Drosophila melanogaster: one gene and its partners. Changing the gene in region 1 together with any one later gene gives a genetic interaction. Each region holds a gene or a part of one and is shown on either strand. Other genes may lie near its edges. The genes, in order: Pax, cdi and Mp20.

Evidence for each region.
Region 2: of Pax (region 1) and cdi, changing one suppresses a phenotype caused by changing the other (phenotypic suppression), as found in Drosophila melanogaster (one study listed by BioGRID).
Region 3: of Pax (region 1) and Mp20, changing one enhances a phenotype caused by changing the other (phenotypic enhancement), as found in Drosophila melanogaster (one study listed by BioGRID).

The regions. Positions count from the first base shown.
Region 1 is NT_033779.5:19,420,312-19,425,751, reverse strand, and holds the start of Pax (paxillin), read left to right. Parts: upstream 1-2,199; 5' UTR 2,200-2,337; exon of another isoform or gene 2,338-2,473; intron 2,474-5,440.
Region 2 is NT_033777.3:19,091,145-19,096,146, forward strand, and holds the start of cdi (center divider), read right to left. Parts: upstream 3,127-5,002; 5' UTR 2,545-3,126; intron 1-2,544. Other genes in the region: mRpL55 (mitochondrial ribosomal protein L55), read right to left, coding at 3,295-3,441, 3,498-3,674; ATPsynD (ATP synthase, subunit D), read left to right, coding at 4,265-4,801.
Region 3 is NT_033778.4:13,244,565-13,249,444, reverse strand, and holds Mp20 (muscle protein 20), read right to left. Parts: upstream 2,776-4,880; 5' UTR 2,703-2,775; coding exon 2,673-2,702; intron 2,529-2,672; coding exon 2,196-2,528; intron 2,129-2,195; coding exon 1,941-2,128; coding exon of another isoform or gene 1,937-1,940; exon of another isoform or gene 1,686-1,936; intron 634-1,685; coding exon 615-633; 3' UTR 565-614; downstream 1-564. Other genes in the region: CG4712 (uncharacterized protein), read left to right, coding at 1-44, 114-502.

The DNA of each region.
Region 1 (5,440 bases):
ACTGTTTTTCGAAATTCTTATCGTAAGCATACAATCATTAATCACGATTAAAAATGGTTGTGTTACGTGCTTTAAAATTCTTGATGATGAATTTCAAGTGCTCGTCTTATCTTTGAACCCGTTCATATGTACATGGGTCCATACATACATATGTACATACATACATACTTATGTACATACATACATATGTGCAAAGTGCACAAGTAAATGAATGAGCTTTTAATTCGGGAAGTGGCTATTGCGATAGCTGTGGTCCGATTCGCGCATTCCTTGCACTTTTATGAATAATCCTAATTCCTTGAATCGAACATAAAAGCATCGCGCTCAGCACTTCCAGTGTGAAATCATTTACAATTCTAGAAAGCAAGGAGGGTGTGGTTTCTTGCAGCCCCAAGTTCGAAACCCTTGTACTCATGTGAATGATCTGGTCTGAGAGAGGCAGCTTAATCAGCCGGGCTGTATTTGCTTTCTTCGCTGCCCCACAGTGCTCTTTTAGTCTCCATCAGCGAAATAAAAGTCTACATGTCGTCTCACTTTATTTTCTTTATGACACAATTCTTCGCTGTTTCGGAATGTCTTTTGATAAAAATATAAAAGTGAAGCAAAACGAAATCTGCAGCCGAGAGTTGTGTGTCCAGAAATTCTTAAGAAATGACTAAAGGCCAGGCCACTAACACTTATGAAGAATTCCAGCTGACTTGCCCTACACCTACGCACAGTGGTCTAAGAGCCCGCTAAAATTTGCTTATCGGCTGGGCTTGTAGGATTCTAGATCTTAAGAAACTTTCATATAGAGCTTTTGCAAAATCATGTTAAATAACAAATAATATTTCAGATCACTTTTTAGATTACAATAATATAATAATAACTATAATACTGAAATTCGTTCGAGATCTTAAAATCTCAGCATAAATATTCTGCCCTCGAAGCTTTACTTCGCACAGGAAGTAGAGGCTTCAGCTTCATCTCCAACTTCATCTTGATCTTCTCCAGCAACTCAGTTGCATCAATCTTGCTTTGCTGCCATTAGTGAGTGCGCGCCCACTTCATCGCCCACTCGACACGCAATGTCTTCTGTTCGTGTTGCGTGTGCGCACTGTAACAGCAAAGACGAGATGATCTGTCGAGATCGGTTAGGTCTGTCTGGGCATTGAGCGTCGATGGCGTTTTCCGCCGAGGGGAGCACTCCAACTGCAGAGCAATGATCGCTTATGGTTACGGGGAAAGGTTCGCACAGTGGGACGAAAGGTTAAAGAGTTTTTGAGATCCCATTTCTGCCTTTTCTGTGATCGTATCAATGTATATCACAGTGTTCATGGTCATGAAAGTATATAATTAGTTATCTTCTATGTTTGTCGATAAACAATTGTAAAGCCTAAGCAGCTGTTAAGTGATAAGCATTTCCAACATGACTGTCCCAGAGGAATTTTGTTTATACCAATTTTCACTGTCATTTTATGAAACATTTAATCTTGCGGATTGTCTGTACAATTGAAGATAGTTTCAGAAATGTTTTGATATTGGATGCCTTTGACTCACGTTTTCGTTTATTCGTCAGCAACGAAGGGGTTGGTTTTCTTGGCAGCTGGCCCACTGTTCACACACCCAAAGGAAAGCTCCAATCGGGCGACAATATTTTCGTCCGCTCTGGTTTCCTTTCGCTGTGCCTCCCACTTGCGGTCGAAATGCTCAGCCGCAGGCCGCAAGCCAAAATGAAAAGCCACTCCAAGTGAAAAGCTACGTGGTGGGGCTCTTTCTCTCTTTTAACTGGCTCTCTTGGCACTGAAAATAAAATACGACAATATGGACTCTGATTTAAAATACATTTTTTTTAAATTCGATTTTTCAAAATTAGTTTACTACTTGTTTACTAGTTTATTAGTTGTTTACTCAGAAACAACAATAATCATAATACTGGTTTCACAAGCTGTAACCGCTGATACATACTTTTTAAACATTCCTTTAGATATATATTACTTTAGATATAGCCCCTATTACGAAGCTAAGCTATCGTTTTGAATATACTATGCCTATCCATACATCCATACATCTATAAATCTAAGAAGATTTTTTCGCAGTGCAGTTTGTTTACCAGCTCTCAAACGCTTCGCTCTCTTGCTCCCCCGCTCTCCGTGAGCAGCTGCGAGAGAGCCGGAGCGCTCGTCTATTGGAGCCTCAGCATCGGGCCCCCCTTTGGATTTCAGTCGATTGCGACGCTTTTACTGAATCGCGAGCGCAGCGCGTGTGTTTTTCGGAGTCTCTCGATTGCGGTCTCCCAACGGCGTCCTACGATCTCTGGGATTAATATATAGAATATGTGACAACACACTGCCAAAGGTGCAGGCAAAAGTGCACAGATAACGCGATAGAATATACATATAAGAAACCAAGCCTAATCAAAACAAAAGGCAACGAAAAAGTGTTTAACGGCAAACTACGGCGGGAAAAAGTTGATGAAAATCAGTGGAATCGTGTTAGTGGCAGGTTGGAGCGTGGGAAATTGTTTACTTCGAGTGCAAGAACAGTTTGCAGTAAAAAAAAAAGTTGACAAACATCAAAAGATATCTAGCACTAAGATAAACGATAAAGCAGGAATGCCAGAAGCAGTTAGCTAAAAAAAATAATATAATATAATAAACTGGCCAAGATTTATGGATCCGTGTCACTCGCCTTAAGATTCCACTAACTCTTGGCAAATCTTTTCGGCGCGTTGCTCGCAAAACATTTCAATTTCATTAGCATTTCCACTAATTATGGAACTAATTATCAACGGACAAGACATTCGAATATATGACATATTTGCCCAGATCTGGCAGAGCATAGAATTTTGGTTAGCCCCATTAATTTTCGCCTCGGGGCCCCGAACGGATTAAGATCGTGGGTGTGTTGAGATGGAAATTAATTCGGTATTTCTGTGTTTTTCTGGAGGGAAATGACCGAAATAGCCAAACAAACATAACAACAGGCAGCAAAAGCAATTAAATTGTGCCCACTTAATCTATTAAAATTATGACATTTTTCACATATTTCAAGCAATCGAAGCCAAGTGCATTCTCACGAGTGGTGGTGGTAGTGCGATGGGGGGGGGGGGGACTTCCTTCCCCTTCCCCTCGTAAAAGTATCTCGAGTTACGACAGCAGATGGAAATGCTGGAGAATGATGTAAACTCGGCTGACATAGTGCGCACAAATGAATATTTTGTTGTTGGGGGGTTCTGCACTTACGAGAATCGCTTTCGTTTTCTCCCCAATATTTTGTATCTCGCAGATACGTTCAGTGGATGCCATTTGTTTACGACCAGACAGCTGCTGTCTTTGTCTCTCCGATTGTCTGTGCGTTTTGAAACCTCTAACTAAGTATCTACAGATCACTCTGGATCTCTGGATTATTTGGGTTTAAAAGCTCGTTTTAAGCCCCAACTACTTAGCACCTCTGGATTCTCCATCATCGTAATTCATAGTGCAGTGAGTTCATCGCCAGGTTTGAGTTCGATTTTCGTTTGCTCAGCGAGTTGCTCTGTGTTTTGTTGTTGTTGTTCCTTGTTTCTGTTCTTTCAACTGGAAACAAGATTCTTATCGCCCAGCCATACAAATTCAATTAGAGTGTGTTGTTTCGATTGCTAGCGAAAGATGAGTGGCTTCGATAGATTTCGAAATCGTTAATTGTTAGCAGCGAGTTGATGTGCAATTAAAACATTGGGTTAGATTCATTGCTCACAAATATTTTGAAATAAATAAGTGCAATACTATTGAATTGTTTGCAATCGACAAATATAACCAATTAAGCTTCCATTGAGCCAATCAAAAGACATTGATATTTAATTCCAGAAAAGCCTTTTATCTGCTCAGTACGTAGGCCATTGGCCAATATAGGGTCTATATATCTTATCAAGACCCCAAAGGCCCCAAAAGTCAGTGGGCGATAGCTCGTCGCTTTTTCCCGAACCTATTACAGAAGTGGAATGTGAAAAGCACGCACAGTTTACAGCGGCATAAATTGGCCAAGTTTATTGAAAGGCCCGGCTAAAGGCCACTGAGCGGTGAAGAGAGATCGGTATCACCCACACAAATGAATTTCCCTGGGCTGATACCCACTTTTCCGTTTGGCCACGCATTGCGTTTTCACCTTAGCGCCTTCGGCAAGGTCAACACTCGCATTCACACACATTTTATCTACTTACTAATAAAATATTTATATTGAGATCGCTAGGAATTTCCTGCAAAATAAACACGAAATTGTGCCTTTGACTTTTGAATTTGACTTCGTAGAAGGAAGACCGAATCGAGAACAACAATTTCGGCCCGACGTCATTCCCAAATGGACTGAGTAATGCCTCAGGTGTGGAGGTAAATGGATTTGGACTTGACTATAGCCAAGACCTGGAAGGAAAGTGAGATTTTTATTTTCTTATTGCCCTTCCTTTTGGCAACGATCTGCGGAAATCTCTCGTATTTTCAATTAATTTCGCTCGATTTTCCCAGTTTAGCCTCCCTTTGTTAGACGACGAAACGTCGCCTTTGATTTGCTAGAAATGTTTTTTTTTTTTGTTTTTTTATTTTTCTTTTGGATATTTTTAGTTGGCGATCATTGGTGTTGACGTAATTTGGCAACCTTGATTCCCCGTTCCCTTCTCGATACTCGTATTTTTGGCCCGGCTCGCTTTGTGTTCGGTCGGTGAATTTATGTTTATTATTTTTTACCTTTTTCCAATGTGTCGTTATTTGTTTGGAACGAAAATCTAAAATGTGGCCTGCATGTTCATTTTGGTATTTTTATGCTTCCATAAATCTGTCTTTATAGACCGTTTGTTGGCTCAACTAAATCTACAGGCCATCGTAAATTGAGTTAGTTGCATAGATCATCTATTGAGATTCACCCACGCACATTGGGATTAGGAAGTCAGAGTAACTGGTCCGGACTTTTTGGTCTGATTTATCGCTCTTGTTGGTGTTTTTATGGATCTTTAGATACGGTTAGATTGATTTGCATCTTCAGTGATTACGCTATAAAGAACCATTTTTGACTTCTCTATCTTTTTGATCTTTAGATACGGAAGATTAAGGTGCATCTTAAGTAGAGTAATCACTTCAGATGAAGATCATTTGACTTGTTTGACAGTGGACTTTCATTGACTTAACTAAATATCTTTGTTTCGAGTATTGATTTAGGTAATTTATTTCTTAGGTTTGAAGCATGATGAACTGATGAACTGACAGACAATGTTTACATTACCAGTAGATTTATTTCTCGTCTTTTTGAGAGCTCTTCATCATATATGCAGCTTAGATCATAGATCTCTCACCTCACCACATCCCTTTAATCTTTTAATGCGGTATTTTGTCAGTCTCAGTCAATTAATAGAGGAAATTCGAATGCACAAAGCACTCTCCAGACAACAATTTCCAACATTAAATCACTTGGACTTCCACGGGGGCAGGGA
Region 2 (5,002 bases), on another chromosome or scaffold:
GACTGCGGTGACTTTGTTGCCGTGCTGTGAGATCAAGTTGCATTTTTATGGGGCCAAGGGTCGTCGCGGCCACCACCGTCTGCATCATCATCATCATCAGCAGCAGCATCATCGTGGTATCTTCGCCTACGTAGACGCGTGCCAGGAGAATTGTGTGCAATGCACACTGCATCGTTTCAGCTGGGCCATTAAAGAGGCATAAATCTTGGTTATGAAATTGGAAATGATTTGCTGTTCAGGCACATTCAAGTAGGGAGCAAGTAACGCACCGAGAAGTGATGCGTTCAGGAAGCGTCTTGCGTTTAGAGTCCGAAAAAAGCGTTAATGAAAAGGAAAGTTGGTCAGCGGCAGAAAAAATGCCACTTCATTGCCGTGTAGAAAGAAAAACAAAGACGAGGAGACGGCGAAAAGAAGCCAAGGCAGCTCAAGAAGAAGAAATTTCTATAAACAAAGAGATGAGACGCCGAGGCAGAGCAAAATTATCAAAGAACAACAAAAACCGAGAAACACAAAAAAAAAAGAAGTGGAAAATGGGACATGGCACACTCTTGGGCCCACAGAAACAACAAAGACTGAATGAAATTCATGTCGTTGTCGCGCTCATAAATTCTTCTACGCCTATATATCGCTGGCTATCTGAGAGATACAGATACACCCACACTTGGAAAAACTACCAACTCATTCAGCCGGGGAGGTGCTGGCTGCATCCGCTCTCTACCTATATGTATGCCTACTTATGAAAAAGAATCTATGTATGTAAATTTGGTGTATTTTGAATAAATTCCAAGCCCATCGAAGGTGTGAGGTGCCAGTTATCGTTAGTTTTTTATTCTCTTGAGTTTAAAGTTTAGACTCCAGAGGCCGTACAACAAGTGATTCACGTAACGAAATGGAAAGCGAGGAGAAATATGTGTGTATACAAATCTACCAAATAAATTCAAAGGCAATGGAATTTTCGACTGAAAGCATAAGATAAGCTTAATTAGCCGGGCAGACAAAAATTTCACTTTCCTTTGGTACAGAACCGTCGTTTTCTAAACTATTTCTGAATGTCCAACGATCACTGCGCCATTTAGACATTTCGACTAATTGGCAGCCAGTCGGCTTTCGGGGGGAGGGCACTCACGTGCCGCCCATCGATCTGCAGCAAAACTATACGTAAATAAACTTTAGGATCGAAGAAATCCAACAAGAACGTCAACAAAAACGAAAACCAAATGGGTTTATTTTCAGCCTCAAGTGCAAGTCCTATAAGAAGATCGAACAAAACAAAACACTTGATGAATGCAACCGAAGGAGGTGCAAAAATCGAACAATAACAAATACAATAGGAAGGGCGCGTAGAGTGAGCACAAATCGTTTCGTTTATTTTATTTATTTTATTCCCCTCTATGCGGACACACACAAATGAAAACAAATTAGCTTAGGCAGCATTAACAGCCAGCTGCCAAGGGCGGAAGTACGGGGGAGTTTACTGTTAATTTTATAAACACCACGAAAGACCACAACGAAAAAAAAAAAAACACCACAAAAATGCAGCAGTAGCAACAGCCAACAACCACCAAACCGGCAAAATCCCAATAGGGCAGCTGCATTTCGGGAGGAAACCCAAGTGGAATGTGCATTCGAATTGGGAGCTATAGCTTCTCGATCCCCGGATAATGAGCCGTGAACATCTGTCGCAGTTTTACGTGGAAAACTGTCTTTCCGCTGAATCGACCGAATCGGAAAAAAAGGGAGAAACTGAGACTAAGGAGAGAGCGAATGCTGGGAAAACCAGCACCAACATCGGAAGCATCTTCATCATAACTTGCAAATGTGTTTGTGTTATTTTTACATTTCCGCTGCTTACGAAAATATTTACGCTCCCCTTCGCACAAAACCTTCCCCATTTCGAATTTCAAATTTCGAATTCCAGACGCTCGCACACACGCACGTGTTAGAGATGAGCCAGATTTCCGAGTGCATCGCATGGTGACAACAGGTTCGATTCAAATGAATATGGAAATGATTCTGCTGAGCTCACAAAAAATTTAAGCATTTGCTTTTCAAATTAGATCATATGGCTATGCTATTCGAAACAGATGTGAAAAAGTAACAAGTTTTAGCTCTACAATGTTTACTTTAAATTTAGCATTTACGAAGTATAAATAGACACATTATTTACGCATTATGTTTTATTATATTTAAGACAAAATACAATCAACGTAAGTTAAAATATAAGATTGCAAACCTATTTACCCTCAATTCTAAATGTTTAAATATACAATAGTACATGACAATTTTGCATTTCCCGTTACGAAATTATATTTGTGTTTTTATCTCGGTAGAACCTTGAAAACCATGTTGTGTCAAGATGCAGCGAAAGCAGCGGGTGGCAACTTTTGGCAGGCAGTGTGCGAAAGCTAAGGTCAGGCCCATCTCTAGGTTGCTTCCGCACACAGACACGCACGCACACAGCGATGGGGAAATGCCAACGATAGCACAGGTCTAATCCATTTAATTCTGGCTTTTAACCGATTTCTGCTAATACTATTTATTTACCCGTTTGGTTTTGGCGACTGCTCTCTCTCTCTCCCTCCGTTCTTATTGCCGTGTGGCCATAATCCAATTATGCTTGTGTTTGTGTGTATGTGTCTGCTCTCTATTGCAATTGCAGTTATTCGCATCCGCCGTGATATGCAACCAACACATTCGCACTCGCGCACTCACACGCACCCGCAGACATCACAAATGCGAGGACCGAAAATCCTGAGCGTCAACAAAATAAATATAGCTCTGGTGTTTTAAAATAGGTTTTCACTCGATTCTGCGTTTGCTGTCTCGTCTTGTTTATGTGCATTCGTCGTTGGTTGTGTGTACTTGTTTTTTTTTTTTTTTGTTAGACGCGACTGTCCATTCAACATTACCACTCAGCCGACGCAGAGCGAGATTATAATTCGGTAACCGATTCACTGGCACTGCTCTAACGGGCTATAGCCTATGATCCAGTCTGGAATGGAGCTAAAGATATGTTGCTTTCATTTATGTCTGCACTCGCGAAAAAGCGTCCACAAATTAACAGTTCTTCGGGAGCGACGCGCAGCTAGACGTCCGACTTTGTTTTCCGACTCGATTAGAGTGACCGTTGTGGGATGGTGGAAAAAAGTGGAGGGCCCATGCTGAAACCGATAACAAAAATACCAGATGTGCGATATACACTATCGATAACGAGCACAATTTCTTAATTCTAATTTAAAACAATTATATAACGGGCTTTCGTGTTTTATTTAACAAATAGTGAATAAAATGCGGCTACTTCTTTTTGATGTACTTCATGTACTTCTTGGCGTTGAAGTTGTCCTCCACCTCCTCCATGATCTTGACCTTCTTGCGCGGCTTGCGGGCCTCCAATCTCGCTCTGCGCTCCGCATCGGTTAAGGTGCTCAGATCCAAGGGAAGCTAGTAGATGGTACTCGTTAATTATGGTTTCGTTAAGTTATAGTAACTAACGTTACCTTGATAATCTTCCTGGGCTCGTGATAGCGGATGTTTATCGTGGATCCATCGGGTTGCACCACAACTGTGGGATATAGCCGGCAGTAAACCGAGCGATGCAGCCTGGTAACCGCCGTCGTGGCCGATGAGATGCAGCGTATCTGCTGAACAGCCTGGGGCAACTGTTTCAGCAACATTTTAATTGATAATCACAATATTTACACTAAATAAGAGCTACACTTAAATCGTGTTTTTGCTGCCAGGCAGCTGATAGTGTGACCGACCCGAGGGTAAGATTTAAAGACTCCTAAATTAGTTATTAAGAATCTGTGGTAGCCCTGGTTCAGTTTCCACATTATGTGGTATTTTCCCCAGCTCTGGTCACATTCGTACTCAAAGTGTAAGTGTTGGTTGCAGAGGCAGAAATTCTTATTTTTCTCCTTGAAAATATAAGTACGTTACGTTAAACACTGCAAAAATAATAAAAAAAAAGCGCACGGTTGGGCTACAACAGCGATTAGTCTGCAAGCCTCGAGGAAAGGACTGCAAACGCGTTTTTAGTTTGAAGGAACATTGAGGATTGAAAAAAATTACATAATTTTTGCGAGCATAACTCGCCGTGCATTATGTCGATAAGTCTGCAACTAAAGAAGCAGAGATTACATTTCAACTAATAAGAATATCGCTGCACAGTTCCAGGACACCTAGAAATCACTTACCACCTCTATAAACCCAAAAACCTAACCTCATCCCCGCTTTTGTTGTTGTCTTGCAGTATCTGTGCAGAATGGCCGCCCGCCGTATCGCCCAATCCTCGATCAACTGGTCCGCTCTCGCCGAGCGCGTGCCCGCCAACCAGAAGAGCAGCTTCGGCGCCTTCAAGACCAAGTCGGACATCTATGTGCGCGCCGTGCTGGCCAATCCCGAGTGCCCACCCCAGATCGATTGGGCCAACTACAAGAAGCTTGTGCCAGTGGCCGGACTCGTCGATAGCTTCCAGAAGCAGTACGAAGCCCTGAAGGTGCCCTATCCCCAGGACAAGGTGTCGTCCCAGGTGGATGCCGAGATCAAGGCGTCGCAGAGCGAAATCGATGCCTACAAGAAGGCCTCGGAGCAGCGCATTCAGAACTACCAAAAGGAGATCGCCCATCTCAAGTCTCTGCTGCCCTACGACCAGATGACCATGGAGGACTACCGCGACGCATTCCCCGATAGCGCACTCGATCCCCTCAACAAGCCCACCTTCTGGCCCCACACTCCCGAGGAGCAGGTCGGCTACAAGTCCAAGGAGCAGCTGGAGGCCGAAGCCCAGGGACACCACTAAACCGGAGCGCACGAGGAGCACTCTGACACTGGCTTCGTTGGTCGTCTGTTCGATTCGAAATGTAATCCGCGTTGAAGTAAATTACCCAAATTAAATTCATTTCAAATGACAGTTACGGTATCTAATTTGCATTTGTTGTCTATGTGACATCTTGTTGGATGGATATGCATAAAGAAAATGGGATCCTTAAATCAAAATAAT
Region 3 (4,880 bases), on another chromosome or scaffold:
TTCCGTGCAAAACAAAACGATCGGCCTAGAAAAGAAGATTGAAGGTATAGTCCTATGAACATCTCTGCTTAAAATTTGTTCATTATTATATGCATAATAATCATCTCCATCAGAGCGAAATATTGAATTAAAAAGACAGCGCAGGCTCTACCACACCGAACTGCATATGACTAAGCACAATCGAGAGAAGTCCCACGAGCTTAAGAACAAAATTCACGTTCTTAAAGATAACCTGCTGGAAAAGCACAAGTTGAAAAATAAACTAAAATCCGAGCTGTGTCGCCGAAAACTGGAGCACAAGGCTATTAGGCGCCGGATGAGAGATTTGACATGCCAGGGTGGTATCCTGGCTATGCCCGCATTGATGTATGACTACGATCGAACTGTCGCCTATGTTCGTGAAAAGGAGAAAATGGTCTCGAGTCTCCGGGAAACCCTAAAATCACTTACCAATCAGCTGCAAAGTTTGATGTCACCTCGAAAAAAGAGCTCGATTATTTAATAGGGCTATTACCACTTTTCAACCAAATACATTTTTCCACAAAAATAATATAATATTTGTCGTTTATTAATGCTATAAACAATGGAAAATTCAAGACTTCCTAGTCGTAAGCTTATGCATCAATAATAACCCTGAAACGGTAGAGAAAATCTCTTAATGAACCATTATTAATATATATGTATATATATATATATATCCCCCACATTTTCAGTGTCAAGTTTGTTATTTATTTGCCTGCTTTTATTTATTCCATCCATATATATATGTTGAAGAAAACAACAAAACCAAGGGGAAATACCGTTTGGTTGTTCTCATTAATATTTCTAGCAACCAATTGTTGGAAATTTTCAAAATTCTAAATATACCGATTCGGAAATTGGCACGCTTTATTCTTAATCATCCTTTCTGAGCACTATTTGAGTCTAAAATATTGTACACACGACCTGAGTACACTTCAATTAGCCAAAACGAATGAGGAAAATATTTCATTTGCAGACTGCGTCATTTAAAACTAATAACAAATCCATGCTGAATATATTCTGCGTTCTAAGACATATTTTTTCAATAGATCTAACATACAATTAATACAAAATATTTCCAGATTCTTCCATTCCTGCTCTTTGCTTTCAGCATAATAAGCCAACAGAGATCAATTCCACCCACTGACAAACTATAATAAATCGAGAAATTAGAAAAGTGCCAGCTGAAGGCGTGAAATATTCGCGAGAGATGTCTGGTTTTTTTCATTTTTGGCACCAGCATAGTTGCACCTGCAATACATAATGTTGTGTGTGTTCTTTCGTGGGAACAATTTCACGCCTCGGACAGGTGAGTTTGGGGGAAATTCCTTTCGCTACATATAAAATATATGTAAAAGTCAGTGTCGAGATGCCCATCTTGATAATAACTCTGCCCAACGCTGATGTTCTGACCTCGACACGCTTCGATGGAATGTTTCACACATCGCACACACTCAACAGAGTGTGTTTATGTTTGCTTTATAACGTTGATACGATGATGCATATATAGTATATATATATATTCAGCTATATGGCTATAGGTATGAAATTCATTTTTAGAACGCACCATAGGCAGATAAATAAAGTCTGTACACCCACACAAACAACAGCAGCAAGAACGTAGAGAGCTCAAGGTTATAGAGGTGATCGGAAAGTGGAAAACTGGGTTCTTTGAATTACTTTATTGTACTCATAAATAGATTAACTTAGGCGTATACTTAATATAAGGCGACAAGCCTTTGCGTTGCTTTTATGTGTTGTTTTGTGTGAGTGTGTGTTCATTGGTGTTGAGTTTTGCTTTGGTGAGGAATATCATTGTGTTCTTCATGTTTTTCATCATACAAAATATATATGGGTGTGTTCACTTAGCATAAGTGTAGAAAAGGGTGTGGACATCCTGGCCATCCTTTGGCGCTTACTTGCCGAGCAGGATCTTGCGGCCAGCGCCGAGGTTCTGGCCAGCCTGGGTGGCTCCCTTGTTGGAACCGGCCTGCAGACCCACAATGGTCTGGCCAGCCTTCAGCTGCTCTTCGGTGAAATCGCGCTTGCACTCATCGGCGGGCTTGGGGCCCAGGAAGGGACCCTTGAAGTCGGCATGCTTGTAGGTCTGCAATGAGCCGCAATTCAAGGATTAGCCTGGCTGACAATGGGATAGAAGGCGATTTGAAACTTACGGCACGGCCCAAAGCGAAGATGGTGTTGGTAACGTTGGCAATATCCTTCTTCTCGTACAGATCGACGGTCTGGAAGACATCGATGTCGGGCACACCGTACTCCTTCAGGGCCTTCTGGAAGTTGTTGATGTTCTCCATGAACTTGAACTGGCCGCCCGAGGAGTTGACCTTGGGCACGGCATTGGGCGACAGCACGTTGATCAGTTTGCACAGCACCTGACCGTCCTTGAGCACATCCTCGTAGGACTGGCCGGCGGGGAACTTCTCGGCAATGATGGCCTCGATCCACTCCTGGGCCTCCTTGTCCATCTCGGGATTGCGCTTGCTGGCAATCTAGGTGGATCGGATAAGAAAAAATTCATATTTTAGGCACAATATTTCACAAAACTGTTTGGTAATTTCACATTTCTTTCATCTATTTTCCTTTATATCTATGTTTTCTTAAGGATCTTTTTTCTTCACTGATTGAGTATTCACCTTGGCACGAACGGCACGCTCAAGAGACATGTTTGATTCTTGGTTTTTGGTTTCGGGTCCTGCGGGATCTTCACTAAAGCTCTGACAAGCTAACACTGATGCCAGCCAACGGGGCGTATGCGGCTTTTAAAGCGCGAGAGAGCGTTCTCCGACGAATTCGTTCAAGAATTTTCCAAAAATATATCCGAATTCGGAGTCGAGTGTGTGAAAATTTTGCAGCGTGGGCGTTCTATATATTCGAAACGCCGACTTTGCCCGTCTCCCGCGTATGAATCGTGCGTTATAATTTTAGATCATCATCGGTTGAGAAAAAGGAAAAATCCAAATGCTTCATTATTTTCACACATTTCCAATCGATGGTATGTGTGTGTGTGTGTGTGTGCGAGTGTGTGTAGATTGTGCTCTTCAAAGTACTGCTCATTTGCATGTTAGCCGCATTTTTTCGGACTTGCTGTCCTGCTGTCATTTTGAACTCATTTCGGGCGCGTGCATTCGTTGCCCGTAATTTCCATCGGCATGCATTGGGTCATAATTAAAAATGGCAGCAAATTGGTTCCCATCGAGCGACACATCCTCCAGAATTTACAGCGAAATTTATGATGACATGGACATCCTCACAATTATTCACAGTTATCAGATCAGATCAGCGACATGGCAATTTCTTGTTAAAAGGACTTTCTGCATAAAAAGTTTACAAAAATGACATGTACTTATTAATTTTTACTGAAAATGTTTTTCAAATTGGATTTAATTGGTATTTCAAATATATTTGATAATCAAATCTTCCAAAGACACGTCCTTCAGAATTTACAGAGATTTACAAAATGTGAGGAGCATCCTTTGCAATATTCACAATTTAGAACATGCCAATTAGTTTATTAAGAGAATATTCGAAATAATTTCATCATACTACTATCATACTAATGTTTTAAATTTTTATAAATATTATTGAAATATTCATACAATGTATTTATAATCTGATAATGGATATAAATAATGTCTCCAGGAAAAGACGGAGCAATTTGCAAGCTTTAAAAAGTAAAAAGGACAGCGATTACTTTATGAGCGGGAAATTAACTTGAATTATGTGCCTTGTGTTATTGAAAAGCACTTTGTTCGAGGACAGCCATCAGCAAAACATGCCTTCAAAATTAACGAGAGGGCAATAAAGTGAAGAGGCGACCAGTCAAGGCGACTGGGAACTGTCAAAGTTCGTGCCCCCCCACAAAAATTAATATTTTATTAGAGTATTTCGGGGGGGAAAGCCAAACAAACAAATCGCACAGCGACATCTATTTCGGGATGGGGGAAAATCTTTTGCTAGAGCAGATACAATTTCGATAACAGTCGGAAAATCTACGAGATACACGTAAAAGGCGCGACGAATTTGTGCTATGGGTAGCGCGACTATTTCTAAATTCTCGACGCCGAACAGGTGGAGCCGAGCCGAAATAGTTGAGATTTTCCAGGCTTTTCTTGTTTTTCCCACGGCGGAGAAAAACAGATGGCGTGTTCGTTTATTTTTACCGCCTCCTTGGCCCGCGGCACTTCGACGGAGCGTTTTCTTTCTTACATTTTTATTTTAATTAACAAATACGCGGCGAATTGAAGTAAACCGCATTGGTTGCCATTTAAGTGAATTAAATGCGCCGCAGGCTGGGTTTTGACTATTGTCTTCGCAAAAATTTAATTAATGCCCCGCAGCCGGGCGGCCATTTTTCACGGCAATTAAATTATTGTAATTGCATTTGCTGAGGGGTGTGGCTCGTCAAGTGAAAGAATCAAATTCAATTACGCGATGGCACACACCCGATGGTTTTGGAAAGTACTATTACTATCGTCTCCCTTGGATTGCAATTCAAACAAATGGCTGATTAAATGATTATCCGAACCCTGGGGGTCCCTCATGCATCCTCATCAGACGACATCCTCATCAACGTTTGTGCCAAAATTGCACAGAGCAGAGCATTGTGTATGTGTTTGGCCAGGAAAATTAGATTCGAGTGTGCAAACATCCTGGCGGAGGAGAACCATTTTGCAGGCGCTAAGTTAGCCGGGATTATTTTCCCATAAATCAGCATAAAAAAATCCACAACCAGGCCGACGGCCTATGCTCCGCAAAATGGCCAGCACACAATGGTCACAAAATGGCAACGCATATCCGAAATGAAGTCAAGCGAAAATTAGGTCGTTGGGGAGTAAAGGCAC